4 linked regions of the Stegostoma tigrinum genome follow. The protein of the gene in region 2 purifies or fractionates together with the protein of the main gene of each other region. This does not show direct contact. Links are inferred from orthologs where the notes say so. Each region holds a gene or a part of one and is shown on either strand. Other genes may lie near its edges. The genes, in order: otud3, ptenb, usp10 and hsp90ab1.

Evidence for each region.
Region 1: the proteins of ptenb (region 2) and otud3 purify together in Homo sapiens (affinity purification with western blotting; 3 studies listed by BioGRID and IntAct, with this or other methods). This does not show direct contact. The link is inferred for Stegostoma tigrinum from reciprocal best matches to the Homo sapiens genes PTEN and OTUD3.
Region 3: the proteins of ptenb (region 2) and usp10 purify together in Homo sapiens (affinity purification with western blotting; 4 studies listed by BioGRID, with this or other methods). This does not show direct contact. The link is inferred for Stegostoma tigrinum from reciprocal best matches to the Homo sapiens genes PTEN and USP10.
Region 4: the proteins of ptenb (region 2) and hsp90ab1 purify together in Homo sapiens (affinity purification with mass spectrometry; 3 studies listed by BioGRID and IntAct, with this or other methods). This does not show direct contact. The link is inferred for Stegostoma tigrinum from reciprocal best matches to the Homo sapiens genes PTEN and HSP90AB1.

What each region holds. Positions count from the first base shown.
Region 1 is NC_081381.1:30,523,714-30,531,323, reverse strand, and holds the start of otud3 (OTU domain-containing protein 3), read right to left. Parts: upstream 3,004-7,610; 5' UTR 2,673-3,003; intron 2,520-2,672; 5' UTR 2,323-2,519; coding exon 2,120-2,322; intron 1-2,119.
Region 2 is NC_081373.1:46,077,210-46,084,562, reverse strand, and holds the start of ptenb (phosphatidylinositol 3,4,5-trisphosphate 3-phosphatase and dual-specificity protein phosphatase PTEN), read left to right. Parts: upstream 1-4,349; 5' UTR 4,350-5,601; coding exon 5,602-5,680; intron 5,681-7,353. Other genes in the region: atad1b (outer mitochondrial transmembrane helix translocase), read right to left, coding at 3,327-3,456. UniProt on the Homo sapiens protein: Dual-specificity protein phosphatase, dephosphorylating tyrosine-, serine- and threonine-phosphorylated proteins.
Region 3 is NC_081369.1:49,064,660-49,072,496, reverse strand, and holds the start of usp10 (ubiquitin carboxyl-terminal hydrolase 10), read right to left. Parts: upstream 3,002-7,837; 5' UTR 2,911-3,001; coding exon 2,890-2,910; intron 1-2,889. UniProt on the Homo sapiens protein: Hydrolase that can remove conjugated ubiquitin from target proteins such as p53/TP53, RPS2/us5, RPS3/us3, RPS10/eS10, BECN1, SNX3 and CFTR.
Region 4 is NC_081357.1:1,517,248-1,525,249, reverse strand, and holds the start of hsp90ab1 (heat shock protein HSP 90-beta), read right to left. Parts: upstream 3,004-8,002; 5' UTR 2,945-3,003; intron 236-2,944; 5' UTR 186-235; intron 1-185. UniProt on the Homo sapiens protein: Molecular chaperone that promotes the maturation, structural maintenance and proper regulation of specific target proteins involved for instance in cell cycle control and signal transduction. Undergoes a functional cycle linked to its ATPase activity.

The sequences.
Region 1 (7,610 bases), on a different chromosome or scaffold from region 2:
CCACCCCAACCTTCAGTTCACCTGGGCCATCTCCAGCACATCCCTCACCTTCCTGGACCTCTCAGTCTCCATCTCAGGCAACCAGCTTGTAACTGATGTCCATTTCAAGCCCACCGACTCCCACAGCTACCTAGAATACACCTCCTCCCACCCACCCTCCTGCAAAAATTCCATCCCCTATTCCCAATTCCTCCGCCTCCGCCCCCACGATAAGACATTCCACTCCCGCACATCCCAGATGTCCAAGTTCTTCAAGGACCGCAACTTTCCCCCCACAGTGATCGAGAACGCCCTTGACCGCGTCTCCCGTATTTCCCGCAACACGTCCCTCACACCCCGCCCCCGCCACAACCGCCCCAAGAGGACCACCCTACCTACCTCCGGACACAACGCATCATCCTCCGACACTTCCGCCACTTACAATCCGACCCCACCACCCAAGACATTTTTCCATCCCCACCCCTGTCTGCTTTCCGGAGAGACCACTCTCTCCGTGACTCCCTTGTTCGCTCCACACTGCCCTCCAACCCCACTACACCCGGCACCTTCCCCTGCAACCGCAGGAAATGCTACACTTGCCCCCACACCTCCTTCCTTACCCCTATCCCAGGCCCCAAGATGACATTCCACATTAAGCAGAGGTTCACCTGCACATCTGCCAATGTGGTATACTGCATCCACTGTACCCGGTGCGGCTTCCTCTACATTGGGAAAACCAAGCGGAGGCTTGGAGACCGCTTTGCAGAACACCTCCGCTCAGTTCACAACAAACAACTGCACATCCCAGTCGCAAACCATTTCCACTCCCCCTCCCATTCTCTAGATGAAATGTCCATCATGGGCCTCCTGCACTGCCACAATGATGCCACCCGAAGGTTGCAGGAACAGCAACTCATATTCCGCCTGGGAACCCTGCAGCCATATGGTATCAATGTGGACTTCACCAGTTTCAAAATCTCCCCTTCCCCTACTGCATCCCTAAACCAGCCCAGTTCATCCCCTCCCCCCACTGCACCACACAACCAGCCCAGCTCTTCCCCCCCCCCCACCCACTGCATCCCAAAACCAGTCCAACCTGTCTCTGCCTCCCTAACCGGTTCTTCCTCTCACCCATCCCTTCCTCCCACCCCAAGCCGCACCCCCATCTACCTACTAACCTCATCCCACCTCCTTGACCTGTCCGTCTTCCCTGGACTGACCTATCCCCTCCCTACCTATCTTCTTTACTCTCCATCTTCGGTCCACCTCCCCCTCTCTCCCTATTTATTCCAGTTCCCTCTCCCCATCCCCCTCTCTGATGAAGGGTCTAGGCCCGAAACGTCAGCTTTTGTGCTCCTGAGATGCTGCTTGGCCTGCTGTGTTCATCCAGCCTCACATTTTATTATCTTGGAATTCTCCAGCATCTGCAGTTCCCATTATCTCTGATGCCATTTTTTTCTAAAACCAGGAATAGAAGTCATGAAACAAAAACAGAAAGTGCTGGAGAAACTCAGCACATCTGGCAAAAAACGTGGAAGAAAGCCAGAGTTAACATTTTGTATCCAGTAATCCTTTATCAGAACGTAAAGACCATAACTTCAGCTTGAGGAAAGATTACAAGGCAGAAAGTATCTGACTGCAGGATTGCTTGGTCTATATTCTACATAAAATTTGTAACAAATGCTTGGGCATACACACCGACTTCAGGTTTGAAGCAAAGAATTTTCAATTCAAGTTGAGTGTGTTGAAAAGTTAGATCTGACTTTTGACCATGATAGATTTTGAAAATGACATCAGTAGCAGCTGGGTTTTTAAACCTCAAAACTGCCAATCCCTCACCGCTGAATAATTATGGTCTCCACACACAGCAAAGCTGGTGACCAATTTAGTCTCAGGCAGTTTTAGCGAAAAAACAGAATTAACAACTCAACATGAGGTATCTGCTGAGCAGAATGCCATATGAAAAACAAAGTTTAACTCCTCCACTCTCTAGGAGCAAATTCAAAGTTAAGTATTACACCAATGACAGAATCAAAACATCGCATAGCATCAATCACCAACAGGTTTTAGCTTACAATATTAAAACTGTCTCATGCTGCAGAATCATGAGGCAATGACTGTGTGATACCGTGTTTCTTACCCATCACCAGGAACTTCCCTGAGTTTGAGTCCCATGGCCAGCAGTTGGTTGGCAAAGCTCAAAAACTCTTCATCCTCTGATCCCTCCTGGGGCCTGTTCTTCCTCTCTTTAGCCAGGGCTCGTCTCACCGCCTTTTCGTCTCTTTTCCGCTCCAAATCCAGTTTCTTGTTAGTCCTGGTTTTGACCGCTTGCTTCTTGGACATGGCTCACAGGCCGGCTAGGACCACATGGAAGCTGCAGAGAGCGAACCAGGATCATCAGATAGGCAATAGGGCAGAGTATCAGCACAGTGACAGGGTCCAACTGCAGAAGAAGATGCAAGGCTTGGGGTGGAGGGCGAGAAACCGGAGCCAAGGACACTCTGGCCTTGCCCTCCAACTGAAGGAGGAAACCCCAAGTTCTGAAGCAGCAAAAGAAGGGAGAAAATGGAAGATATTTATTGAGCGCTGACGGTAAGCTGAACAACTATACTATATGATGTTATAGAGTGAAGTCGGACAAGCTGAGCTCAGTCCTGCTACATTGTGATATCCTTTGACGCAACAAAACGTACCCGCTGCCGGTTTTATTCTTTTCAAGTAGGGCCTAGAGCCAAGTCTGAAGCCTCGGGCTTTGCGTGTCGGCGCCGCCCGCCGGAGGTGACTAGCGCCAGGGCTGGGGAGGCGGGTCCCAGGGGCCTGAAGCTGCCGGCTCCCTCACGCACGGAAGGCGGCTCTCACGGCGTGAACCTCCAAAAAAAAACCCGGCAGCCGCGAAACCGCGGCCTTTGGCTTCCAACCTTCCTAGCGTCCGCAGCGCTGGGACTAACTTCAGCAAACCACTCAACTAGCCATCAATCTGTTCTGGAACCTACTCCAACCAGGACCTTTAATCCTCTTCTCAATCTCAACCTTTGCAGGAGTTAAACTGCCCCCAAACAAAAAAACTTTAACTTGCCTCAATCCTTAATTTAGTCTCCTTCAGCACGAATCCACTATATAATCGCAGACTGTTTCAATCATTATCCATTTCTATCCTAATTCAATCCCAATCTTTTTTATTTCATTCTGTTTTAATTACAATCCAAATCCATCCCAGTCTATTTCTTAATTGGCAGCAGTCTTTTAAACTAATTTGTGATTTCATATTGCCTCGTGGGTAAATCTATTTCTTATTTGATGCTCATCCTTTTCAAAGGGAAGGTTTTGGGTTTCAACCATTTAAATATTTTAACTGTCTCCATGCAGCGACATTTATGCCTACAAAACAAAACAAAATTACAGTAGGTTTCTCTGGCTCTTGGTACAAATAGAAATGATTTCTAGTTAGGTTTGAAATCTTTTTTTCCTTACTTTTACCTCATTGTGGCTATTAAATATGTTAACCAGAGTGGATCTAAAACGTACAGACTCAAAGTGATCTTGCTTTCATCCCAGCATGTGCTGAATTAGACACAGAGGAGGCTGGAAGAACATAGCAAGCCAGGCAGCGTCTGGAGGAAAAGCGAAGTCAACGTTTCGGTTATTATCCTTCTTCAGGACTGGTTGGGCACAGCAGAATTTGTTAAGTATATTTTTGGTGAAGAAAAGGCACTCCACTCAACTGTACTGCCTTAGGGTAGTTAAAAGGGAATAAAAGCCAAAATCTTGATTATTTTGAGTAATCCATGCTGAAAAGAGACAATTGTGAATATTCTGTTATAATAAAATTGAACTTCACTGTCCCCCATATCAGCCAGTAAAATCTGCTGAGGTTTTCTAAGTTAAAGCATGAAGGACATTGTTATTTAGCTAAGGTACTTGAGCATGTGAGGTGTTAGAATTGCACACAGCAAACATCAAACTTACACAAGAAGAAAGGTAAAACTGTGAGTTTTAAAAGAAATATATTTAATATATATCTGTGCCCTTGTTACCTCCAGGCTGACCTTTTGTCTTTCAGCCTTCATAAACTTGAGTTCATCTAAATTCGGCCTTCTGCATCTTCACTTGTGCAAGGTCATATTCATCCTTTGCCTCTGTACTTCAATTTTAAAATTCTCATCCACATTTCCACCTCTGTTTCCTCCTTGAAAATATTTGTTAAATCTACCCCTTTTACTCATTAGTCTTAACATCTCCTTATGGGATTAGGGTCAAATTTTATTTGTTAACAGACTGTAAAGTACATATTTCCATTTTACTACACCAAATATCCTTTCTCAATGCAACGTGTTTCCTTAATTAGCAAAGGCTAATCAGGTTGCGACTCTACTCATTGGAATTCAGAAAAATGAGAGGTGATCTCATTGAAACATATAGGATTCTTAAGGGGCTTGACAGGGTAAATACAAGAGAATGTTTTCCCTCATAGGGAGTCTCAGAGCAGAGGGCACAGTCACAAGATAAAGGGGCAACAATTTAAAGATTGAAATAAGGAGAACTTTCTTCTCTGAGGGTTGAGAGTGTTTAGAACTCCTTGTTACAGAGAACTGTGGGGGCAGAGACATGTTGTATTTTCAAGGCGGAGATGAATTCTTGTTCAGTAAGGGAATCAAGGGATACAGGGCAGCAAGATGGACGTGAAAAATGTCAGAGCAGCCATGATGTTATTAAGTGGTGGAGCAGGCTCCAGGGGCCAAACATCTTATTCCTATTCCTTTTCGTATGGTCTAATGTGGGATTACCTAACCATTTTGGATACAAGGGAACAGTCAACATCAGATATCTACTATAGTGAAAATTATATTTCAAAATGCTAATTAATGTAAAAAGTGAGTCTAATTGTGAATGAGATAAAGTATTGAATGCCACATCAATGAGTTCCATGGACGTTTGCTAGCATTCAGAGCCACTGTTATGTTAAAACAGCATGGATATATGTAGTAATTTCAAAGTTAGGGACAACATGGTGGTTTGTCACCTGTCAGTGATTACATTGCAATCTCTTAGATGGTGTGAAAATCAGTTCCTAATGTAGAAAGCCAGTGAATGTCAATGAAAAACTCTTGCAATATATGTAAGCACATGAAGAGCAACATCTCTGGATTAAATGGCGATTTAATTAAACACAACAATATAGGCAAAGTCACAAGATAAGTATAGATGGTGGAAACAGCAGTATAAAAAAAAGCTCATCCATAGAATAAAACACACATCAGATTGTAATTTATTGCAATGAGAACAAAATACTATGGATGCTGGAAATCTGAAACAAACACAGAGAATGCTGGAGAAACTCAGTGGGAAGGTTTGGCATTTTACAGGAGATTTTATTGCTGCTGTGTCTGCTCGTCTAATTCAGCGCTGATCAGGAATTAAATTTGGAGATGTCTGCACCCTTATCACTTTGTACCTTACCTTTGGGCAGGAATTGGACGGATACAGACTTGTGCTGTACTATTCTATGGTACATGTACGTATGGCAGCATATCTATGCGAAGCCTCTTCCAGGGATGCCTAACCTGAAGAAGTTACCCTCCTCCCTCCGGACCAACCTCAGGGAATCTCTCTCCCATTGCAACTCTCTTGTAATCTCTTCGGCCTTGAAACTGCTAAACCTATCCCCTCCCTACCTCCCCAACTATACTCTCTCCACCTATCTTCTTTTCTCTCCATCTTCGGTCCACCTCCCTCTCTCTCCCTATTTATTCCAGAACCCTCACCCCATCCCCCTCTCTGATGAAGGGTCTAGGCCCGAAACGTCAGCTTTTGTGCTCCTGAGATGCTGCTTGGCCTGCTGTGTTCATCCAGCCTCACATTTTGTTGTCTTGGATTCTCCAGCATCTGCAGTTCCCATTATCTCTGATCTCTATGACTCTTCATACTGGATTCAAAATGTTAGCTCTGTTTCTTTCCGTACAGATGCTGCCAGACCTGCTGAGTTTCTCCAGCATTCTCTTTGTTTGCAATTTTATTGTTTATTGAAGTGTCTAAGTTTCTTCTCATTCTTGATTATTTACCATTGCCATATTTAATAAATAGCCCCTTGTCCTAATATCTATTTGTGTTTCCTGAAGTAAAATTTAATATATTTTCTACTTCTATGAGGTTTCATCATAGTCATTTTTATTGTAAGGTAAAAAGCCCCACTCGCTCCAAACTTTACTGGGAATCAATTCTCTAATGCAAAGGACCAACCTTATTATACTTATTTTCATGGTTTTTAGAAGTTGAATGCTTCCCTTGTGTCCTTACTACCAAAACTGAATCCAATGTCCAATACAATTTTCATATAATATTTTCTGGCTTGTTCTTAGTTTACCTAGCGATGTAATTCAGCATTCTACTTATTTTATTACAGATTGTTTGCATGTTCCTCGTAATAATACCATACATGTATAATGAGCTATAAATACTGTAATTTATTCCATTGCAATCACTGACACATTATTTAGTTTTTCAACATTTAATTTTTTTTTACAATTAACTTTCTATCATTTTGAGAGCTGTGAGTAGAAAGTTAGCAGTAAAAACACACTGTCACACACTAGCTGAACCTGGACAAAGCAGAAGATGGAGCTCTTGTCCTGTGAGTGTCTCGAATGTTCAGTGAAGCCGCGCTGAGAATGAAGTATCATCCTATCGAGCTGATGTTGTCAATATCAGCACATGTTGATATCAGTGCATGTTTTCCATTTGTCAAAAGAAAATTGGACAATTATCTGAAGGGAAAATGTTTGAAAGATAACAGGGAAAAGATAGGGTCCTATGACCAGGTGAATTGATCTTGGGGAAAGCTAGCACAATTACTGTGGGCTGAATGGCTTCCTGCGCTGCAGCCAACATATCATTCCATGTTCAAGCATCTTTGCAATTGTCAAACATGCAACAAAAGCCTGTTTGTCTTATTTCAGTAAGTTGATGACATTTCCTGATAAAATCCTGTACTTGAGAGCAATATTAGGAAGCCATTCACTCCTTAATCTCAGAGATGAGGTTCTGTTTATGCCTCATGCAATCTTTTCCTTTTGCCAAAGTCTAATGACTCCACTGTGTACAGGGTCTTGGGCATTGACAATAGTAGTAACTGATGCATTGGAAGAGACACTATCACTAGTTTGTGAGGGCAAAGACCCATAAACACCAATGTGATAACGGTCAGTTCTTCTGATTTAGTGATATTAAATGAGGGATAAATATTTGCAAGACACCAAGAATTCCCTGTCCTTCAATGATACCATGCCATGGGATATTTCTAACAATCTCAGAGTAAAGACGGGCTCTCAGTATCATGTCATTCAGTAGATTATGATTCCAGCAATGTAGCTCCCTCTCAGCACTGCACTGGAATGTCAGCCTAGATTATGTGCTCAAGTCTCTGGCATAGGATTTGAACCCACAACCTTCTGAACTATTGCTATCAGGTCAGATAATTCTAATAACTCACTATAATGATTGGGAATTCAGATTTGGGACCTCCATGAATGTTATGGTTTAGCATATTGGACTTGGTTAGAAAATGTGAAGATTGCTAAAAGGGACTGAAATAATTCCACAGGGGCCGGTATCTGTCACCAAGTCACCCTTTATTT
Region 2 (7,353 bases):
CAACAGAATTGAACCATTACCTCACTACATTCAATGACATTCTGGTCACCGAATTCCTCCTCATTATTAACATCTTGAGGTTACCATTAACCAGAATCTGAACTGGGCCAGCCATATAAGTACTCTGGTGACAGCTGCAGGTCAAAGACTCGGAATTCTACAAGGTTAACTCACTTCCTGTCAACTCAATGCTTATCTGTCATCTATGAAGCACAAGTCAGGAGTAGAGTGGAAATAGCTTCATTTACCTGAACAAGTGCAGTGCCATCAAAACTTAAGAAGCTGACATCAGCAGGACAAAACAGTCAGCTTGATTGGCATCCTAACCACTATTTTCAATATTCGCTTCCTTTGCCACTAACACAATAGCAGCAGTGCATAAGATCTACAAGAGAATTTGTGGCAACTTACCAATGATTCCCTGACAACACCTTCCAAATTCACACCACTATTATCCAGAAGGACAAGGGCAGCAGATGCATGGAAACATCACCACCTGCAAGTTCACCTCCAAGCATATCATTTGGACTCAGAAATATTTTGCCATTGCTTCACAGTTACTGGTTCCAAATCTTTGAAATCCCTTTCCTAATGTCACTGCAGGGGTACCTAAACTTCAAGGAGTAGAGTGGTTCAGGAAAGCAGCTCACCCCTACCTTCTTAAGGGCAACTAGTGCTAGGCAAGAAACGCTGGCCCAACGAGTGACTTCCACATCCCACAAGTGAACATTAAAAAAGACAACGGAAGGAGATTGTGGGTTTGTTTCTTGCAAGTGGCAATGGAGAATAATGTACTTGTGGGTCATCTAAGGTTTACAATGTGGAAGTATAATAGATGGGCTTTGGGAGCAAAGGGACATGAGAAATAAAATGGACTTGGATCACTGTAAAATGCACAGTACGGAAGGACATTTGGGGTCCACTAGCGCCCCATGCGTGGAAAAGTACTGAGCACAGTTTGCAGGTAGTATTAAATTTAGGAAGCCAGATGTGGGATAACAAATAGGTCCTGGATTTTTGTAGCGTTTTGGAAGGTGAGTTTTCAAAAAAGTACTACAGCAGAGGACGTAAAGCTTTGGTATTCGCCAAATTGATGGCAAGGGGTTGTTGAGTGTGACGTGCATGGACGAAGAGATGATACTGAATGGTTAAGGTTGAGACTTAGTGAACGGACGAGTGTGGTCAGAAGTCCAAAGAAACTGTGGCTTTTGTGTGTGTTTGCAGCTGGACAGTTTTCAGTGAGGATCAAAAGCAGTGTCATGGTTGAAAGAAATGGGAGCCATACAAGACAGCTGTATTCAGATTTAACCAGGGAGAGATCTTATTACAACATGACAAATTAAAAAAAGGAATTTGCTTAGGTTAACTTTATCTGAGCATCAGAACACAAAAGTCATTGAACCAAAACTTGACTGATTTTCACTCCACAGTGAAGTTTCCATCATTTCATAGTTAAAGCATTCGGTAAAATGGCACCAGAATTTAAATTAACTTAACTTGCAACTACAGGTGTGGAAAAGTTTATCATCTTGCTTAAACAGTTTCTCAATGCATTGCCATTATACCAGTTAATATTGCTACTGGATAAATCAGATCCCAGGTTGAAACCTGATTTGAAAGATCATACATTTTTCTTTAAATTAACATGGTCACCTTTCATTGAAACACAAGCAGGAAACACTGCAGAATTTATTTTAACAATAAAACAGAAGTTCATTATGCAACAGAAATGAAGCTAAAATAAAATAGAAAAAAACTAAGCTCTGTACTGTATGATTCTAAGCTATTTACACATAACACAATTTTAAAAGATTGAAACAGTAAAAATACAAGCCCATTTATCCAGACACCTAAGGTTTCTTTCTCTCTCTCTCACATCTAAAGGTTTAAATTAACTGTTTTTTTCCCCCCAATTCCTGGTTTTGTGAATTGTATTACCTCTCCCTTGATTAATAACACATCTGAGCCTAGTTTTCAGCTTCAAATAAACCCTTCATGCTTCTAATTAAATATTTTAAATATGGAATTTCAAACTAAAACCCTGACACTGAGATAATCTACTTCCTAACTCTTCTGAATTATCTCCTTACTCCAGGAAAGACTGTTCACACATCTAACTTCAACTAGGACTTCTGTCAACTAAAACCAAAAGGTTTACAATTCATAGATTTTCTCCAAGCTAGGGGGAAAAAAGAATCTTGATTCTTCTGAGTCAAAGCCAAAGCCTTTCAACGTTTACTGTGTCCAATCCTAAAATTCTCACAATAGAAACAAATGCTCATTAGCACTCCAAGAGGCTGCTCTCTGTCATAACTGGTCGAAAAAAAATCATGGCTCCAGAAGTAAAACAGAACTGCAGTTGCTGGAAATCTGAAACAAACAGAAATTTCTGGAGAAACACAGCTTGTCTGGTATTATCTGTAGACAGACAGCGAAATTAACATTTTGAGTCCGCAGACCTTCTTCGAAACTGATAGAAGCTAGGAAAACATGGTAAATACACTGAAGACTCCATGTGAAGAGAAAATGACTTCAGAAAACTGACAAGATAATTATTAAACCCCTTATAACAGACCAAGATCTGCGCACAACTAGTCCAAAATCCAAACACTAATATAGACAATATTAATTTGCATAAATCATAAATCCTAGGTCAGACCACACTCCAATCAATTGTTCAGAATGTTTATAAAATCATTAATTCATTTAAAATGAATGTCTCTCTTCCTCCTCAAGAAAGATGTCTGCTGCATTTGGCAAAAGAAAAACTGGTATCACATCCCTAGCTATAGAAAGATATTCCATTGGTTTGTGAAGAATTAGAATATCCAACATCAATGATTGTGCTCCTGAGATGCTGCTTGGCCTGCTGTGTTCATCCAGCCTCACATTTTATTATCTTGGAATTCTCCAGCATCTGCAGTTCCCATTATCAATGATTGACACTCGCTAGATTGTGAAGGATACTTCTGCTCAGATTTACACTCCAATGAACGTGCACGTTACAAAAACAAAGCCATTGATTATATATTGTCTGCTCCCTTCTTTTCAACCACAACGACTATTACATAAAATTTAAATAAAACTATACAATTGCAACTTAACAAAGCTGATCTGAACTAAAATAATTTGTCCACAAAGACAGTAGACATTAATTAAAATCATCCATACCGTTGTACAAGCTATTTCTAGTTTATTGTCAAATATCAAATTTGGCTTATACATCTTAGTCTTCAATTAATATTTATTAAAATACTTAATGGTAGACTACATTGTCTAATATTTCAAAAGTACTTTGTCAGTCATAATAGAACACTATCTCCAACCTTCATGTGATGAAAGATATAGGTATTTCCCCTTAATGTCTTGACTCCACATATCTGCGGCGGGGAAACAGCCCGATGTCCCACGAGCTCCCAAATTACAATATTCTATCGATAACCAACATACATGCATACACAAATCTACGAATAAGATCCATAAAATAATTGGAATAAACAGTGAGGATTTCAGAAGTGTCTGAGACACCACCTGTAATTGCCAAGGCAGCGGTATGGAAAAGACTATTCCCGCACAGTTGCCATCTCGTTCAGAAACTGTGGTTTTACTTCCAAGCTCAGTCCAAGACAGTCCCAAAGTGCTCTAAGGCTCAACATCAGGGTGCACTGTCACCGGAAATCCCAGAGAGACAGCGATTCCCAAAGTATGGGCAGCACGGGGTGGGGGAAACGACCGTATTCCTCAGTAATGGATTCCACGCAACGATATCAGTTGATCAAAATCCAATGGATAAAACCGGCCCGAAAGGCGGAGAGCGAGAGTTTGTAACACATGCGCAAGCAGGTTGCTCCTTTACCAAGATGGCGAAAGACAGAGAGCGAAAGAGAGAGAGACTTTCCCCCTCCACACAGCCCGGAAAAAACCCTCCAAGTCACTTGGTTCATCATTCCATGAATAAACAGATCAATGAGCGTCGGGTTCCAGCCAAATCCTCCCCGTACGTTCTGCACGATCTGGTTCTTTTCTCCCCGGATAGCCCGGGCATTTTTGGTAGCGGGGACCCGTGAGGCTGTACTCGGTCAATGGGAGTGAGGGTAGAGAAGGGGGCGCTTCCGCTGTTCGCCTTCGGGGTAAGTAACCTGGAGACTCGGCCGTTCAACGGCCGCAACTCGCGCTCTACTGGCCACGCCCCCTTCCCCTGGGAGCCGTACCACCCCCCGCCCTCCTCCACCACTGTTCAGGAGCGACAGGAGAGAGAAAAAAAAATCATCGCAGCGGACACGTGACTGCGCAAATAGTGCCAGCACGTCCTTCTCACGCCGCTGCGAGATCGCCAGCACCAATGTTGTAATACTGATTTAATTCACTTCGTATTCGAACCTACACCCCCCTCCCCCAACATGCCACTACATACTCTCAACCCTGACACAACAGCCGGTCCCGAAATCCAACGGCTGGCCTGGAAAAGGGTACAAGTCAATCCCAGGGCAGTGCTTGGAAGGGCGACTGAGGAGATTTAATTGGTGAGCGGGGAGAAGAGTGAAAGCGGGGACTATATCCAAAGGGCGGAGTGTTACACGCTCTCTCTCCTCCTCCTCTCCCCCCTCCCCCTTCTCTCTCTCTCTCTCTCGGTCTCTCTCTCTCTCTCTCATTCCCACTCGGGGCCATTGCGCTTTTTTTCCCTGGGAAGCCATCATGGAAGTTTGAGAGTCCGGCGGTGGCCCCAGCAGCAGCCTTGGTGGGGGAGGGGGGGGGAAGAAGCTGGAGTCGGTGCTGTGGCCGGGACGGGAGCTGGAGCCGTGGCCAGGGCCGGGGCCAGAGCGATCGGCCGAGAAAGAAAAAGGAAGGAAAGAAAGAGGAAAAAAAGAAAGAAGAGCAAGTGTGCGTGTGCTGGAGGGGAAGCTCGGCTTCCTGCTGACTTTTTTTCTGAAAAATAATGCTTATAATTTTTTAACACGGAGTGGATCAGGATCCCGGAGTGTGTGGATTATTATTTCTGACGGAGCGCAAGGAGAGCAGCCACGGATGTATTTTTTAAAACGCGTAATTTATTGACAGCGGAGGGGTAAAGGAATCGACTTCTTTGGATTTTTTAAAAAAAGATCCCTTTCTTTTAAGCGAAGGCATTGAGATTTTTTCCTCCCTCCATTTCCCTGCCTATCAGCCCCCCCCTTTCCCCCCACCCCCCGACCGACGGTAACGGCGGCGGCGGCGGTGGAGGCGATCGTGGAGGAAAAATCGTAGCAAGAGGCGGTGAATGTGGCCACCGTCTTCCCCCGTTGCCCCACCAATTCCTCTTCCCGCTAAAGGGTTTTACTTTTTACCCCCTCTCTCCCACCCCCACCCCCCGTTTTCCTCCTCCTTTGATGGTCATCTGAAGAAACCGGAGCAAATCCACCACCCCCCAACCTCCCTTACTCCTGCGGAGGATATTAACGGAGCCGGGGGGGAAAGGCGAGAGGCAGATTGGGAGAGAGAGAGAGTGCGTGTGTATGTTGTGGAGCTGGGTGTTAGGCCCCTGTGTGACAGCAATCCAGAAGGTGCCAACAAACCCATTTCCACATCCTCCACCTCCACCACCTCCTCTTCCTTCAACCAGGCATGGCTTCGAGAATCAAAGAACTTGTCAGCAGGAACAAGAGAAGATACCAGGAAGACGGATTCGACTTGGACTTGACATGTATCCATTTTTCTTTTCATAAGGAGGGGTTTGGGTGGGAGGTTGGGGTTTGTTGAGGAAGGTGGTTTCAAATATTGCGTCTTTATTCTTGCCTTACTGAATCAAGGTTTGAATGGAGACGTGCAAAAAAAAATCGATGCACTCCCTTTACTTCGTATTAGATAAGGGAGGGGAGACCCTGCCGTCACTCTTGCAGAAACTGAGGGAAATTACACAATTTTAACAAATTGGTCCTATTCAGTGCTGGAGTACAGTTAAATTGAGTAACTTGCAAGTGACTGTATTAAAATATTGGGTGAGTTCCTTTTTGTTTGTTTTTCTTTAAAATATGAGTAATTAGGTGTACAGGCCTTGCATTATAAGTTGAATGTGTAATGTCATTATATACATTGCTTTGTGGTACTGAAATACCTATTGTGCAGATCTAGAGCTGCCATGCGTAGCCTCTGCAGGGGGGCATACGTACTGCACAGAGTGCGTTAGGTCTTGGCCTAGATTAGAATGGATGAAGTTAATTTTGTCTTTGGCTAAAATGTTTAATATCTGTTGAACAATTTTAAAGTGTACGTTTTACGTTCAGTAGTTTTGCACGAGCTTGCGATAATAAAAATAATCATTTTGCATGGATGAGTATCGTTAATTCACGTTGCTGCTATTGTAAATCACTAGTGTTCAGGAGTTTAATTTTTACTTTGTGCACAGTGAAGCAGATGTCCCTGACTTGAGCAGTAGACTCTGTAGGTGCAGTTGAGAGCTCGTAGCATTTTGCCTTTGATACATATATCGTCACTGACAATGATTTTAGGAGTCATTTGAAGTTGTCTTTGCTTGACTTGAATGGATCTAGTGTCTCGTAATTTTGCTGATCTTGCTATAATACCGCTGGCCTTCTAGTTTAGCAGTTTTAATAGAAGGAAGGAATACAGTAACATGCAATAGGAATACTGTAACAAGCAGTTTATGGTGGTGATGTCATGGTGCATCAGTTTAAATTACAAGACGCAATGATCTTGTGCACTGCTACGACTTGAAATAGCGTCTAAATTTTCACTAGATTAGAATAAACTGCAGTTTTGTATTTTGTGAAATGGTTTGATATTTAAAGGGAAAAAAGTACTGAAACTTCTGTTTGAGGAATGTGACTTGCAACTCAGTAGACTTGAATGCCCATTATGCGCATTAGGCTAAATTGGATTGTACTGTCTTTGGATGAGGCAGGAATTATTCATTCACGATCCAGAATCCAATTTGTGTGTTGATATAACTTGAATTTTTTTTCCACTGGTTGGTACGTTTGTGTTGACGTTTTGGTTAATCAATTTTGCCTATTTTCACAGTTTCCTTTGCTCAGGTGTAAAGCTTTGCAGTATATATATGCTAGATATTTGCATAACTTTGGTTGAATATCTTGAGGCAGAGCCACTAGGGTAATACTATTTTGTAAATAATAGCAACATAGCGTTCAGGAATGATATTCATTAGTACTTGACTGTTAATGCTTTAGGTTAATTATGACAGAGCTTGAAAGAAACCTATGTGTCTCAGATCTACTGGATGGGAGAATATTTTAAAAATGCATGATGTTAGTCACTCAGTGCTGCTTGAATACAGTATGGCTGCTTTATATGTGATGAACTTTACAAGTTGTTTGAGTTTCATGCAGTATATTTATG
Region 3 (7,837 bases), on a different chromosome or scaffold from region 2:
AGGTATCCAGAAGTAATGATGACTTGGTCATCTGTTAAAAACTCAAGCATATTTCACTGAATGATTTTTAAAAATAACAATATTACTGCACAGAAAAGAAACTTTATATCTGTTCAACTGGCTTCTAAAAATTGCAATCTGCCAGAATAGAAGAGCAGGGAATCAGTGACAAAAACTGCTGGATAATCACACTAACTGTGCATTTGGATACCAGAATTGTCGTCAGCTTCACGTTTATACATATGCTTCCTATATACATTTGCGCCAGAAGTTTTAAATTGGAGGGACTGTCATTTCATCTGTACCAAATACTATAATCTAGGGTAGATCTGTAATGTCAATTTATCTGCTGATTGTTAAAATAGTAAGAAACCAAAAACAGTGGCAACAATCTAGAAAGCATGTGTCATAAAAATAGTTTTTCGTTAAAAAAGCCATACATATTCAAAATTAGACCTTACAATTAATTTCAGTTTTGAACAATGTAGCCTGCAAGTACAACTGTTTGCTGCAACAGCAATAATTTTCAATAATGATCTAAGACAAATCTATGTAAGACAAACGTAAGCAGAAATTTCTCATGGCACTTTAGGTGCTGCATAAATGCAATATTTAGGTGTTGTACAGGTGATTTTGAAAGTCCCCCTTCTATGGATTGTCAATTTTCATTGGGCACTGCAGTTTCTGCATGAAAACAAAACTGGATGAAGTAAATTCATTTAAAATTGAAAATAACTTTTAATAAATAATATTTGGAAAAAAGTATTTTTAAAATTGCAAAAAATCATTGATACCATATTAGAGATGAAACTCCAAACAGACACGTCCAATCTTCAACTATTAATTTTGCATGCGTAAGTTCAATCATAACTAACAACTGAAATTAATAAGTAGTGGGAATGATTAGTGAGATCTTCAGGCTAATAATTATCAGCTCTCTCATTTCAGCCCGTCCCCTTACAGCTAAAAATCCAGACTGGTTAGAATTTATTTATTTGTGTTGAACTATTTGTAAGTGCTTTAAATTCAAACAAGAGCCAAAATAGAGTCCTTTTCAACCAATGGATTTGTTCATAAAGCAGACATTATAAATTAATCTATCAAGACCAATTCAAAACCGTGCAGTTCCTGGCAGAATGAGCTGTCATACTGATCGAACTATCCATGGCAGCTATTTAAGGTGGTGGTCCATACTGTTTGATGCAATAATGTCTTTGCCTGCAGATATTCTTCCTTGACTTGGGCACGCTCTTGTGAAGCCATAGGCTCGACAACACCCCATTCTCATGTTTGGGTTTACCAGCACCCTCCTTTCTTCACCTACAGATGGGTGAAGTCAGCTGTGTCAGATTGTGGCTTTTTATCCCCCCACCCCTCCTGTGTGTTGGTCTCATTGGCTTTTGGTCACCCCTTTACACCATGTGGCCGAACGCACAAAGATATTAGCCCAGAGCAAAATCTTGGTGTATACAGAGAATTGGAATGACCAAATGGCACAGCAAAAGATCAAACAGTATGCATATTCGCACTGATGAATTTCAGTTCTAAATTTTCTCCAAAAATTCAGCATGACTTTTTTAGAATTACAGAAATTTATTGTACAGAGGGAGGTTATTTGATCCAATATGTATCAGCTCCCGACAACTACCCAGCTCACCCGACTAAATTTTTTTGAAATGTTCTGTACGAATAACTAAAACTTAAAATTTAACAGCCAGAAAGCAGTCCAAAGTGCAAGCAGCTAAAAAGTTCAAATACCAAAAAGCTTCATAAAGCAAGCAACTTTTAAAAGTACAGTTGAAAGCAAAACACCAAAATCTATGTTTGCAACATTTAATATGTTCAGTAAATTGTTTCTGCACTCATGATTTTGGTAATTCAGCTGACAATTCTGAATTTAAGGGCTTTTTAAAATTTAAGTTAAATTTGTAGACTCATTGTTCTAATAATGACATACAAAGAAAGAAAATGCTCGTCAGATTTTATGTTAAACATTACAACATAATTGGCAGCTTATCCACACGTGTGATTTATTTGAATAAACCAAGATGAACTGTTCAAATCCCACTCAACGCCGTTACAAAACTTTCTAGATGTTAAAGTGTGCCACAAGTTTGATCAGGCATACAGGTTGAACTATATAATTAGTGAGACTAAAATCTAAGGTGTGATGTGTATACTGTAGCATAGGCAGAAACCAAGGGATTTCGTTCAGAACACGTGCAAAACAGGGGCACCCCCACCCCCAAAATAAAATGGTCAGAATCCACTTCCACCATTCCCGACTGATAAAAGTACATGTTCACAAGTGGATCTTGAAGCATTTTTCCACCCAATTTGCTGTGATAAAACTCAAGGATATACCCTGCCGTCCAAGAGAATCCCTTCCAGGTTAACTGCAGGGGACACAGAGTCCAAGGTGGAATGAATCATCATGCGCCCCTCCCCCACCGCTCATCTCTTTTAATGTTTTCTTGCTGAACCGAACAATTTGGAATGCAGCCGAACTATGGAAGATGGCCTGTAACAGGGCCGCGGCGCATTTCAGATCCAGGCAAAGCGAAACGTGAGGCACCAGGGCGGGCGTGTCTCATTAACGAGATATATCCTTCGGGTAGTCGACAACCTGATAGCATCGTGTGGGGCCCTGGGCTAAAACTCTGCGACCGCAAGTAGTCAGGCTGAGGAAAATACCCTGGGGCCTAAACCTCATGGATTCTCTTGCCTTCTCCGCCTCCCCCCACCCTCCCCCCGCGCTACCACCGCCTCATCCTCGACAGGGAACGAAATCTCTCATCTTAAATCCCCCTCAACCGCAAGGTCGCTTCATTCTCCGCCCAGTCCCCGATGCTCGTCCGCCGCTGCCCTGCCATCCCCGACTTTCCTCACCTTTATATTGTTGCTAGCCATTTTGCTGCTTTTGAATGAGATAACTCATGCTTCCCCGTTTGCCGCCATGTTGTCTGCTCCGCCAGAGGCCGTGCGCCTGCGCGCCCGTGTCCCTGGCACCTCCCCGAGACACCCGCCCCCAACCGTTGCCCTCCCATTGGTCCAACACCTCTGCGCTCTCCTATTGGTCTGACTGTTCAGCTTTCCCCCATTCGTCCCTATGACCCGCGTCTCCTTCTCCATTGGTCCGTCGGCAGCAACGATATTCTTCCATTGGTCTGCCACCTTCACGCTCTCCTATTGGTCTACTAGCTTCGTATTCGCCGTCCTGTTGGTCCGCTCGCGGATGCCGCCGTCCAGCCAATGGCTTACCAGTCAGGCGAATAGTGGCCTCCTGATTGGACAAATCGCGCGCGGCCGGCGAACCCCTTGCTCAACGATTGGCTATAACCAACCCCACTTGATCTTTTCTCCGTGCCTATTGGTCAGCTTGCAACAAGGGTGGAGGAAATGCCGCCTAATAGTTTTCTGTTTAAAAGAGCAATTCAATTTTCAAGTGGTGTCTAGTTTTATTTTGGATTTTGCTTCTGATCTTCGTTGAGGTGTGCAATAATTCGATTTTAGTTCAGGACGGATTGTTTTCAGGTCATTTTGAAACTCATGAGTTTTCAGGTGTCGGCCAGGGTTCCAATTTAGTGAAAGTGACAAACCAATTTGTGCTCATCAACCTCAAAACTAACAGCGAGATAATAACTCGCGAATATATATTTTGTGATGTTGTTTCAGGAATGAATATTTATGCTGAAACATAAGAAGGGCTGTTGGGACACAGTAGTAGCATTCGTACCTGTGGTCCAAATCAGAAGTCTTTAGTTCACCTGAGGGGTTTTGCTCTGAAAGTTAGTGATTTCAAATAAACTTGGACTGTAACCTGGTGTCATGTGACTTCTGGCCTTGTCCACCCCAGTCCAACACTAGCACCTTCATATCATACCTCTGGTCCAGTAGCCCTGAGTTCAAATCCTCCTGCACCACATGTGTGTAATAACATCCCTGAACTGGGTCATTAGAATATATATCGCCACTGAAACGTGCAAGAAACAGCAGGTCTGACGGCGTCTGTAGAGACAGGGTTACTGCTTCAAATCTGAACTGACTCTTCTTCAGAATCTTTTATTCTAAGATACTTCAGTTTGAAATACTGCTTCCGGGACCTTTACATACAACCATGCAAGCAGACGTTTTCTGAAGAACAGTCAAGGCCTGAAACATCAGCCTTCCTGCTCCGCTGATGCTGTTTGGCCTGCTGTGTTCATCCAGCTCTACACCATGTTATCTGAGAGCCTTAATTTGATGTCTTTTCAGAAAAACTGCACCTCCACAACATTACCACTTGATAGCACGAATCTGTCATGCTATCAAAATAACCAATAATTTGGACAAATGTGAGTAATGAAGGAATCTCGGACAGAATTGTTCACTGAATGTGTTCAATAAATTTGCTGTATTCTTTGAAGAGATGACAGACAGAGTTAATGAGTGACATGCTAAAAGTCTTTGATAAAATGCTGCACAATAGACTTGTGGACAAGGTCATAGCCCATTGAATAAATGGATACTAAAACACAGGTACAAAATTGGCTGACTGACACGAAACCAAGAGTAGTAATTGATAGAGAAAACAAGGTGTAGAGCTAGATGAACACAGCAGGCCAAGCAGCATCAGAAGAGCAGGCAATAAATGCTGGCCAGACAGTGATGCCCACGTCCCACAAATTAATCCAAAAAAAAAACTACTCTTAGGCTTCCTTTCTCCAAGAAAAACTGACGGGGCATCTCCAATCTGCTTCGGAACTTAAAGTTGCTGAAACCAACCTTATGAATTATTTTTCTGCACAATCTCAAATGCCTTTGTTTTTGGCCGACGTGTAGAATCCAGAACTGGACAGTTAAGGCCAAATCAGTGCTTTACATTTGTGTATAAAAATTAATATCAAATCAGGTATTAAATGGCAAAGCATGCTTGAGGGGCCTATGGCTTGTTCAAATAATTGAATGTACTCCTTGCTCTCACACTCTATGACCATGCTAATAAAGTCTATGATACTTCATAGATATATTAATCATTCTTTAGTACTATCCTGCCACCTTCAATCATATCAACTACACATGCACCCTTTTAGGATGGTACCTTTTTATATCATATCATCTCCATTTTTTTCCTGTCAAACTGAGACACTTTGTGCTTCTTTTCATTGAGCTTCATGTGCCACCTGTCTGCCCAATCCACTATTTATTTCCTTTTGAAGTTCTACTCCATCTTCTTCATAGTTTACAATATTTCCAAGTTTTGTGTAATTTGTTTTGGAATTGTGCTCTGCAAAATCTATCTACCTCTGCACAGTGGGGTCTAGATCAATAATTTATTTCAGCATGGATCCCGACCCTGACGCAGGAGACCTTTTTCTACAAATCTTTCCCCAACCTAAAATAACCTATCAACTACTACAGAGATAGTTGCTCTTAAAAAGGTGGTGGTGAGCTGCCATCCAACCACTGTGGGTTGACATAATGTCATTAGGGAGGGAATTCCATCAAAAGTTAAGGAACAGCGATATATTTCCAGGTCAGAGTGGTGAGTGGTTTAGTGAGGAAATTAAAGGTGGTGGTTCTGATATATCTGCTGCTCTTGTCCTTCTAGATGGAAATGGTCATGGGTTTAGAACGTGTGTACCTGACGCTATGTGGTGAGTTTCTGTAAATAGTACACACTTCTGCTATTGAGTGTCAATGGTAGAGGAACTGTAAGCTTGCGGATATAGTGCTAATTAAGCAGGCTGCCTTGTCCTGGATGATGTCAAGCTCCTTGTGTATTGTTGGGGCTGCAATCATCCAGGCAAGTGGGGCATTTACCATCATACTCCTGACTTGTGCCTTTAGATAGTGACAGGGTTTGGGGGAATGAGGAGGTGTGTACATTGTCACAGTATTCCAAGCCTCTGACCTGTTCTTGTAGCCACTGTATTCACATGGTGAGTCCAGTTGAGTTTCTGGTCAATGATAACCCCCAGGATGTGACATGGGGAATTCAGTAACGGTAACACACTGAATGTCAAAGGAGGTGAACAGATTGTCTCTTATTGGTGAAGCCCATAGACTGGCATTTTTGTGGCACGAATGTTACTTGCCACTTGTCAGCTCAAACCTGGATATTGTCAAGATCTTGTTGCATGTGAACATGGACTGCTTCAGTATCTGAGGAGTCTGAAATGGTGCTGAACTGTGCAATCATCAGCAAAAATCCCCACTTCTGACATTATGATAGAGACAAGGTCATTGATGAAGCAGCTGAAGATGGTTGGGCCTAGGACACTACCCTGAGGAACTCTTGCAGAGATGTCCTGGTACTGAGATGACTGACCTCAACGACCATGACTATCTTACTATGTGTCAGGTATAACTCTAACAAGTGGAGAGTTTGGCCTAAATTCCCAGTGATTCCAGTTTTGCTAGGGGTCCTTGATGCCACACTTGATCAAATACAACCTTGATGTCAAGGGCTTTAAAACTCTCCTCATCTCTGGAATTCAGTGCTTCTTTCCATGTTTGAACCAAAGCTGTAACAAGGTCAGGAGCTGAGTGGCCCTGGCCAAACCCAAACTGGAAAGATTATAGCTGAGCAGGTGCTACTTGCTAGCACTGTTGATGACACCATCCATCACTTTACTGATGATTGAGAGGAGACTGATGGCGCAGTAACTGGTAGGGTTGGATTTGTCCTGCTTTTTATGCACAGGATGCACTTGGGCAATTTTCCACATTGTCGGGTAGATACCTGTGTTGTAACTGTATTGCAACAACTTGGCTAGGGGAGCGGCAAGCTCTAGAGCACAAGTCTTCAGTACTATTGCTGGAATGTTTTCAGGGCTTGTAAACCTTTACAGTATCCAGTGTCTCCAACCATTTCTTGACTATCAGGTGGAGTCAATCGAATTGGCTAAAGCCTGACGTCTGAAATGCTGGGGACCACTGGAGGAGGCTGACAGAGATCATCCACTCGGCACTTCTGGCTTAAGATTGCTGTGAAAGCTTCAGCCTTATGTTTTGCACTGATGTGCTGTGCTCTTCCACCAATGAGGATGGGGATACTTGTGGAGTCAACTCCTCTAGTGAGTTATTTAATTCTCTACCGCTATTCACAGTTGTAGGATTACAGAGCTTAGATATAATCCATTAGCTGTGGAATCACTTAGCGCTGTCTATCATTTGATGCTTATGCTGTTTGGCATGCAAGTAGTCCTGTCTGTTGGCTTCCCCAGGTTTACATTTCATCTTTAGGTACGCCTGGTTCTGCTCCTGGTATACCGTCCTTGACTCTCTGTTGACTCAGGGTTGATCCCCTGGCTTGATGGTAATGGTTGAATGGGACATATGCCATGCCATGAGGTTACAAATTTTGATGCGGTACAGTTCTGCCGCTGTTGATGGCCCACAGTGCCTCATGGATGCCCAGTCTTGAGTTGCTCTACATCTGTGCAAAATCTGTCCCATTTAGCACAGTGATAGTGCCACACAACACAATGGTAGTTATTCTCAAAGTGAAAGTAGGATTTTGTATCCACAATGACAGCATTGAATATACTTAGCCTCAATTGCCCTCTGCGAAAAAGAATTCTAGACATCCACTACCCATCGATAGAAGTTCTGTCTTTGTTTCCTAACTGGGGAACTCCTTACTCTGACATTATGTCCTCTGGTCCTAGATGCTTTCCCAAAGATAGGTCATGAATGCACCAAGGTTAATCTCTCAAATATTGCTGCTAGTAACCTGGAAAGAAAGACTGCAGGGTTCACAACTCTCATTTGTGGTTTGAGCCAGGATACCCTCTATTTATGGCTGGCTTTCACTTTCTTGGAGCTACTCACATAACAGCAGCTGACCATAAAA
Region 4 (8,002 bases), on a different chromosome or scaffold from region 2:
CGTGTTTCTCTCTCTCTCTGACAGGATTTACCGGTGACCGGACACGATACCGGGTGTAATTACCGTGTTTCTCTCTCTCTCTGACAGGATTTACCGGTGACCGGACACGATACCGGGTATAATTACCGTGTTTCTCTCTCTGACAGGATTTACCGGTGACCGGACACGATACCGGGTATAATTACCGTGTTTCTCTCTCTCTCTCTGACAGGATTTACCGGTGACCGGACACGATACCAGGTGTAATTACCGTGTTTCTCTCTCTCTCTCTGACAGGATTTACCGGTGACCGGACACGATACCGGGTATAATTACCGTGTTTCTCTCTCTCTCTGACAGGATTTACCGGTGACCGGACACGATACCGGGTATAATTACCGTGTTTCTCTCTCTCTCTGACAGGATTTACCGGTGACCGGACACGATACCGGGTATAATTACCGTGTTTCTCTCTCTCTGACAGGATTTACCGGTGACCGGACACGATACCGGGTATAATTACCGTGTTTCTCTCTCTCTCTGACAGGATTTACCGGTGACCGGACACGATACCAGGTGTAATTACCGTGTTTCTCTCTCTCTCTGACAGGATTTACCGGTGACCGGACACGATACCGGGTATAATTACCGTGTTTCTCTCTCTCTCTGACAGGATTTACCGGTGACCGGACACGATACCGGGTATAATTACCGTGTTTCTCTCTCTCTCTCTGACAGGATTTACCGGTGACCGGACACGATACCGGGTATAATTACCGTGTTTCTCTCTCTCTCTCTGACAGGATTTACCGGTGACCGGACACGATACCGGGTATAATTACCGTGTTTCTCTCTCTCTCTGACAGGATTTACCGGTGACCGGACACGATACCGGGTATAATTACCGTGTTTCTCTCTCTCTCTCTGACAGGATTTACCGGTGACCGGACACGATACCGGGTATAATTACCGTGTTTCTCTCTCTCTCTCTGACAGGATTTACCGGTGACCGGACACGATACCGGGTATAATTACCGTGTTTCTCTCTCTCTGACAGGATTTACCGGTGACCGGACACGATACCGGGTATAATTACCGTGTTTCTCTCTCTCTCTGACAGGATTTACCGGTGACCGGACACGATACCGGGTATAATTACCGTGTTTCTCTCTCTGACAGGATTTACCGGTGACCGGACACGATACCGGGTATAATTACCGTGTTTCTCTCTCTGACAGGATTTACCGGTGACCGGACACGATACCGGGTATAATTACCGTGTTTCTCTCTCTCTCTGACAGGATTTACCGGTGACCGGACACGATACCGGGTATAATTACCGTGTTTCTCTCTCTCTCTCTGACAGGATTTACCGGTGACCGGACACGATACCGGGTATAATTACCGTGTTTCTCTCTCTCTGACAGGATTTACCGGTGACCGGACACGATACCGGGTATAATTACCGTGTTTCTCTCTCTCTCTCTGACAGGATTTACCGGTGACCGGACACGATACCGGGTATAATTACCGTGTTTCTCTCTCTCTCTCTGACAGGATTTACCGGTGACCGGACACGATACCGGGTATAATTACCGTGTTTCTCTCTCTCTGACAGGATTTACCGGTGACCGGACACGATACCGGGTATAATTACCGTGTTTCTCTCTCTCTCTGACAGGATTTACCGGTGACCGGACACGATACCGGGTATAATTACCGTGTTTCTCTCTCTCTCTGACAGGATTTACCGGTGACCGGACACGATACCGGGTATAATTACCGTGTTTCTCTCTCTCTCTCTGACAGGATTTACCGGTGACCGGACACGATACCGGGTATAATTACCGTGTTTCTCTCTCTCTCTGACAGGATTTACCGGTGACCGGACACGATACCGGGTATAATTACCGTGTTTCTCTCTCTGACAGGATTTACCGGTGACCGGACACGATACCGGGTATAATTACCGTGTTTCTCTCTCTCTCTCTGACAGGATTTACCGGTGACCGGACACGATACCGGGTATAATTACCGTGTTTCTCTCTCTCTGACAGGATTTACCGGTGACCGGACACGATACCGGGTGTAATTACCGTGTTTCTCTCTCTCTCTCTGACAGGATTTACCGGTGACCGGACACGATACCGGGTATAATTACCGTGTTTCTCTCTCTCTCTCTGACAGGATTTACCGGTGACCGGACACGATACCGGGTATAATTACCGTGTTTCTCTCTCTCTCTGACAGGATTTACCGGTGACCGGACACGATACCGGGTATAATTACCGTGTTTCTCTCTCTCTCTGACAGGATTTACCGGTGACCGGACACGATACCGGGTATAATTACCGTGTTTCTCTCTCTCTGACAGGATTTACCGGTGACCGGACACGATACCGGGTATAATTACCGTGTTTCTCTCTCTCTGACAGGATTTACCGGTGACCGGACACGATACCGGGTATAATTACCGTGTTTCTCTCTCTCTCTGACAGGATTTACCGGTGACCGGACACGATACCGGGTATAATTACCGTGTTTCTCTCTCTCTCTGACAGGATTTACCGGTGACCGGACACGATACCGGGTATAATTACCGTGTTTCTCTCTCTCTCTCTGACAGGATTTACCGGTGACCGGACACGATACCGGGTATAATTACCGTGTTTCTCTCTCTCTCTGACAGGATTTACCGGTGACCGGACACGATACCGGGTATAATTACCGTGTTTCTCTCTCTGACAGGATTTACCGGTGACCGGACACGATACCGGGTGTAATTACCGTGTTTCTCTCTCTCTCTCTGACAGGATTTACCGGTGACCGGACACGATACCGGGTATAATTACCGTGTTTCTCTCTCTCTCTCTGACAGGATTTACCGGTGACCGGACACGATACCGGGTATAATTACCGTGTTTCTCTCTCTCTCTGACAGGATTTACCGGTGACCGGACACGATGCCGAAGCTGACGCTAGGCCTGATGGTCCTGACCGGATCACACCCGGACCGCCCACGCGGATGAACAGATCAATCCGCGGTGGAGGGCTATGGCGGTAAGACCTGGACCTCCGGAAGTGGCCCTCCCTATACTGCACAAGCACAACCCGCACAGGGCCCTGTCCCCGACACCAAACCGGGGGGGACACACAAAGCCCCAGAAAGGTGGCTGGAACAGCGGGATATTTACTTAGAGCGGAGGGAGATGCTGCGGGGGCGGGCGGTTACACAGTTTGTTCCAGCACTTTCTATGCGGTGACGTAAGGACGTCGCGGGGAAGGCGGGGCCTTTGTTACCAAGGAGACGGCAGGCAAAAGTGATGGCGGCGGGAAGACGCCCAGAGAGAGAGAGAGACCCTGATCCCCCTCTCCCAGAGAGAGAGAGAGAGAGAGAAACCCTGATCCCCCTCTCCCAGAGAGAGAGAGAAACCCTGATCCCCCTCTCCACGAGAGAGAGAGAAACCCTGATCCCCCTCTCCCAGAGAGAGAGAGAAACCCTGATCCCCCTCTCCCAGAGAGAGAGAGAGAGAGAAACCCTGATCCCCCTCTCCCAGAGAGAGAGAGAGAAAAACCCTGATCCCCCTCTCCCAGAGAGAGAGAGAGAGAAACCCTGATCCCCCTCTCCCAGAGAGAGAGAAACCCTGATCCCCCTCTCCCAGAGAGAGAGAGAGAAACCCTGATCCCCCTCTCCCAGAGAGAGAGATAGAAACCCTGATCCCCCTCTCCCAGAGAGAGAGAGAGAAACCCTGATCCCCCTCTCCCAGAGAGAGAGAGAAAAACCCTGATCCCCCTCTCCCAGAGAGAGAGAAAAACCCTGATCCCCCTCTCCCAGAGAGAGAGAGAGAAAAACCCTGATCCCCCTCTCCTAGAGAGAGAGAGAGAGAAACCCTGATCCCCCTCTCCCAGAGAGAGAGAGAAAAACCCTGATCCCCCTCTCCCAGAGAGAGAGAGAGAAAAACCCTGATCCCCCTCTCCTAGAGAGAGAGAGAGAGAGAAACCCTGATCCCTCTCTCCCAGAGAGAGAGAGAGAGAAACCCTGATCCCCCTCTCCCAGAGACTGATAGAAACCCTGATCCCCCTCTCCACAAGAGAGAGAGAAACCCTGATCCCCCTCTCCCAGAGAGAGAGAGAAAAACCCTGATCCCCCTCTCCACGAGAGAGAGACAAACCCTGTTCCCCCTCCCAGAGAGAGAGATAGAAACCCTGATCCCCCTCTCCCAGAGACTGATAGAAACCCTGATCCCCCTCTCCCAGAGAGAGAGAGAGACCCTGATCCCCCTCTCCCAGAGAGAGAGAGAAAAACCCTGATCACCCTCTCCCAGAGAGAGAGAGAAACCCTGATCCCCCTCTCCCAGAGAGAGAGAGAGACAAACCCTGATCCCCCTCTCCCAGAGAGAGAGAGAGAGAGAGAGAGAAACCCTGATTCCCCTCTCCCAGAGAGTGATAGAAACCTGATCCCCCTCTCCCAGAGAGAGAGAAACCCTGATCCCTCTCTCCCAGAGAGAGAGAGAAAAACCCTGATCCCCCTCTCCCAGAGAGAGAGAGAAAAACCCTGATCCCCCTCTCCCAGAGAGAGAGAAAAACCCTGATCCCCCTCTCCCAGAGAGAGAGAGAGAAAAACCCTGATCCCCCTCTCCTAGAGAGAGAGAGAGAAACCCTGATCCCCCTCTCCCAGAGAGAGAGAGAAAAACCCTGATCCCCCTCTCCCAGAGAGAGAGAGAGAAAAACCCTGATCCCCCTCTCCTAGAGAGAGAGAGAGAGAAACCCTGATCCCTCTCTCCCAGAGAGAGAGAGAGAGAAACCCTGATCCCCCTCTCCCAGAGAGAGAGAAACCCTGATCCCCATTCCCAGAGAGCGAGAGAAACCCTGATCCCCCTCTCCCAGAGAGAGAGAGAGAGAAACCCTGATCCACCTCTCCCCGAGAGAGAGCGACCCTGTTCCCCCACCCAGAGAGTGAGAGAGAGAGAAACCCTGATCCCCCTCCCAGAGAGAGATAGAAACCCTAATTCGCCCCTCCCAGAGGGAGAGAGAAACCCTGCTCCCCCTCTCCCAGAGAGAGAGTGAGAGAGAAACCCTGATCCCCCTCTCCCAGAGAGAGAGTGAGTGAGAAACCCTGATCTCCCTCTCCCAGAGAGAGTGAGAGACCCTGATCACCTTCTCCCAGAGAGAGAGAGAGAAATCCTGATTCCCCTCTCCCAGCCCAGAGAGTGAGAGACCCTGATCCCCTTCTCCCAGAGAGAGAGCGGGAAACCCTGATTCCCCTCTCCCAGAGAGAGGGAGAAACCCTGATCCCCCTCTCTGAGAGACAGAGAATTCCTGATCCCCCTCCCAGAGAGGGAGAGAGAAACCCTGATCCCTCCTTCTCAGAGAGAGACGGAGAGAGAAACCCTGATCCCCCTCTCCCAGAGAGAGAGAGAGAGATGGAGAAATCCTGACCCCCCTCTTCCAGAGAGAGAGAGAAAAAAAAACCTTGACCCCCCTCTCCCAGAGAGAGAGAGAGAGAAACCCTGATTCCCCTCTCCCCGAGTGAGAGAGAGGAAACCCTGATACCCCTCTCCCAGAGAGAGACAGTGAGAAACCCTGATCCCCCTCTCCCAGAGAGAGAGAGAGAGAGATGGAGGAATCCTGATCCCCCTCTTCCAGAGAGAGAGAGAGAAAGAGAGACAGACAGACGACCATGGCTTCTCCTGAGAGAGAGACGGAGAGATCTGATGCCCCACCCGCCCACCTGAGTGAGGGAGATTGATCCTGAGCCCAGTCCTGATGGGGATGGAGAAAGAGAGACCCCGATCCCCTCCCAGAGAGGGAACCCTCGGCCCTTCAGAGAGAGTGAAAGCTGCCTCCAGGCTCAGCCTGCAGCCCTACCCCACAACCCTCCCAACATTGCCAGGGACAGAGCTCCCCCTGCAATCTGTGCCCATGTCCAGTCCCTATCCATTACCAGACCCAGATCTTGCATCTCCTCCAATCCATGTTCAGGTCTTCGATCACCGAAGGCCCAGCAGCTCAGCTTTGAGTTGCACTCCATACCCCATGGCTCCTGCTCACTGACCACACAGTGCCTTCAAGACACAAGCAAGTTGCACAGTTTTCTCAATGTTTTGACCAAAGGGTTCATTCAGCCTAGCTATCTATGGCCCTTGGAATGTGAGCCTGCAAACTCCACTGATGTAAAACAAAGGCAAAACACTGCAGGAGATGCTGGAGAGCTGAGGTACAAACAAAAGTGTAGAATCTCATCACATTTGCCAGCATCTGTACAGAGAGCAAAACAACTTTTCAATTGGAATTGAGCGAACTTTTGTTTTGTCAAACATCCACTGCTTGCTTGTGTCTGTCACCATCTAGATGTCAGCACTGAAAGATTCACAAGGAAATATCAATATGACGGCTAACATCCAAATTTAATTTCAACAGTTGCCTACTTGTTTTTGTTATAATTTAGAATGATTATTATTGATATTTGTGCTAATTCCCCCCCCCCCCCCCCCCCCCAGTTGATGGATATTGTGCATTCTTAATTGCTGAAGTGAGGGGTTAGGATTCCTGCAGCTCACCTCTTCTCTCCCTTTACCACCAATACTCAGTAGCAGCAGTGTGGATCATCTACAAGATGCTGTGCAGGGATTCACCAAGGTTCCTTAGCACCTACCAAACCCGTGACCACTTCTATCTCGAGGGACATGGGTAGCAGGTACAGTTGGGAGAGAACACATCCTCAGTGAGAGACTACCAGATAGACGGTGCGTGTGTATTTCTGGGATATTGGAGCACAATGGGAATTCAGTGCTGGGGTGAGGGGAGGTGCTTTAATTGATTTTTTTTTTGTTGTCTGTGGCTTATAGTTTGTAAGGACTAAATTCTATAGTGATATAGGACCAGGAATAAGAACCCTAGAGTAATTAACATTATTTGATATTAAGCATCTTCCGAAAAGTTCAATTTAACTACTGCCAGGAGAGATCAGAGCTACAGAGTGCCCTTTCTTCTCAATGTGAGAAGTCAGTCAATGGTAGCATTTGTGCGAGAAGTGTCTCTATCTATAGCTCCTGGAAGCCCAGTATTCTTCATTGTGGATAATATGTACAGAGAGGCAGTCACACCATGGACGAAGAGAATGGTCACCATCAGGAAGATCAAAGGGACCAGGCAGGCAGTGCAGGAGTCTCCTGTGACTATACCCTGCAAAGCAGATAAACCTCTTTGGACACTGTTGAGGGGAATGGCAGAAATAGCTAAATTTGGTGCACCATGGTTGACTTTGCTGCATAGTGGAAGAGTAAAAAGTGTGGGAATGTAATCATTATAGGGGATTCAATTGTAAGAGAATTAGTTTGGTGACTGCAATTGAGACTCCAGGATAGAATGTTGCACCCCTGATGTGAGGGTCAATGTTGTCATAGAGCAACTACAAAACATTTTGAGGAGGGGAGGATGAACTGCTAGTGGTTGCATGGTGGTGCAAACTACATAGATTTTTTAAAAAAGACCGAGGTCCTGAAAGCAGATAGTACTAAATTAGAAAGCACGTTTAAAAATGAGGATCTCTAAGGTAGCGATCTGAGGATACCACGTGGTCGTCAGAGCAGAAATAGCAGGATACATTAGATGAATACATGGCTGAAGAGATGATACAAGGGGTCAGGTTTCATATTCCTGGGACATTGGGCCCAGTTCTGGGGGGAGCCAGGTGAAACTGGATGGTTCCATCTGTGCAGGAACGGGACTGATACCCATAGAGGCATGTTATCAAGAATGGTTGGGGAGGTGGGTTTCTTCTACTTTTGTGCATTTGATTATTACAAATGTGTTGTCCACATAATATACCCACAGTTTTGGTTGGGTTATAGGAAGGACTGTTTTTTCTAATCTCTGCATCACTGCTTCTACGATGAGGCCTGAGATGGGTGATCCCATTGATGTGCTGTTGATCTGTTTGTATATCTGTCTGTTGAGTGTGAAGTGGTTAGTAAGCTCCCCCTCTCTCCGTATTTATTCCAGAACCCTGACCCCATCCCCT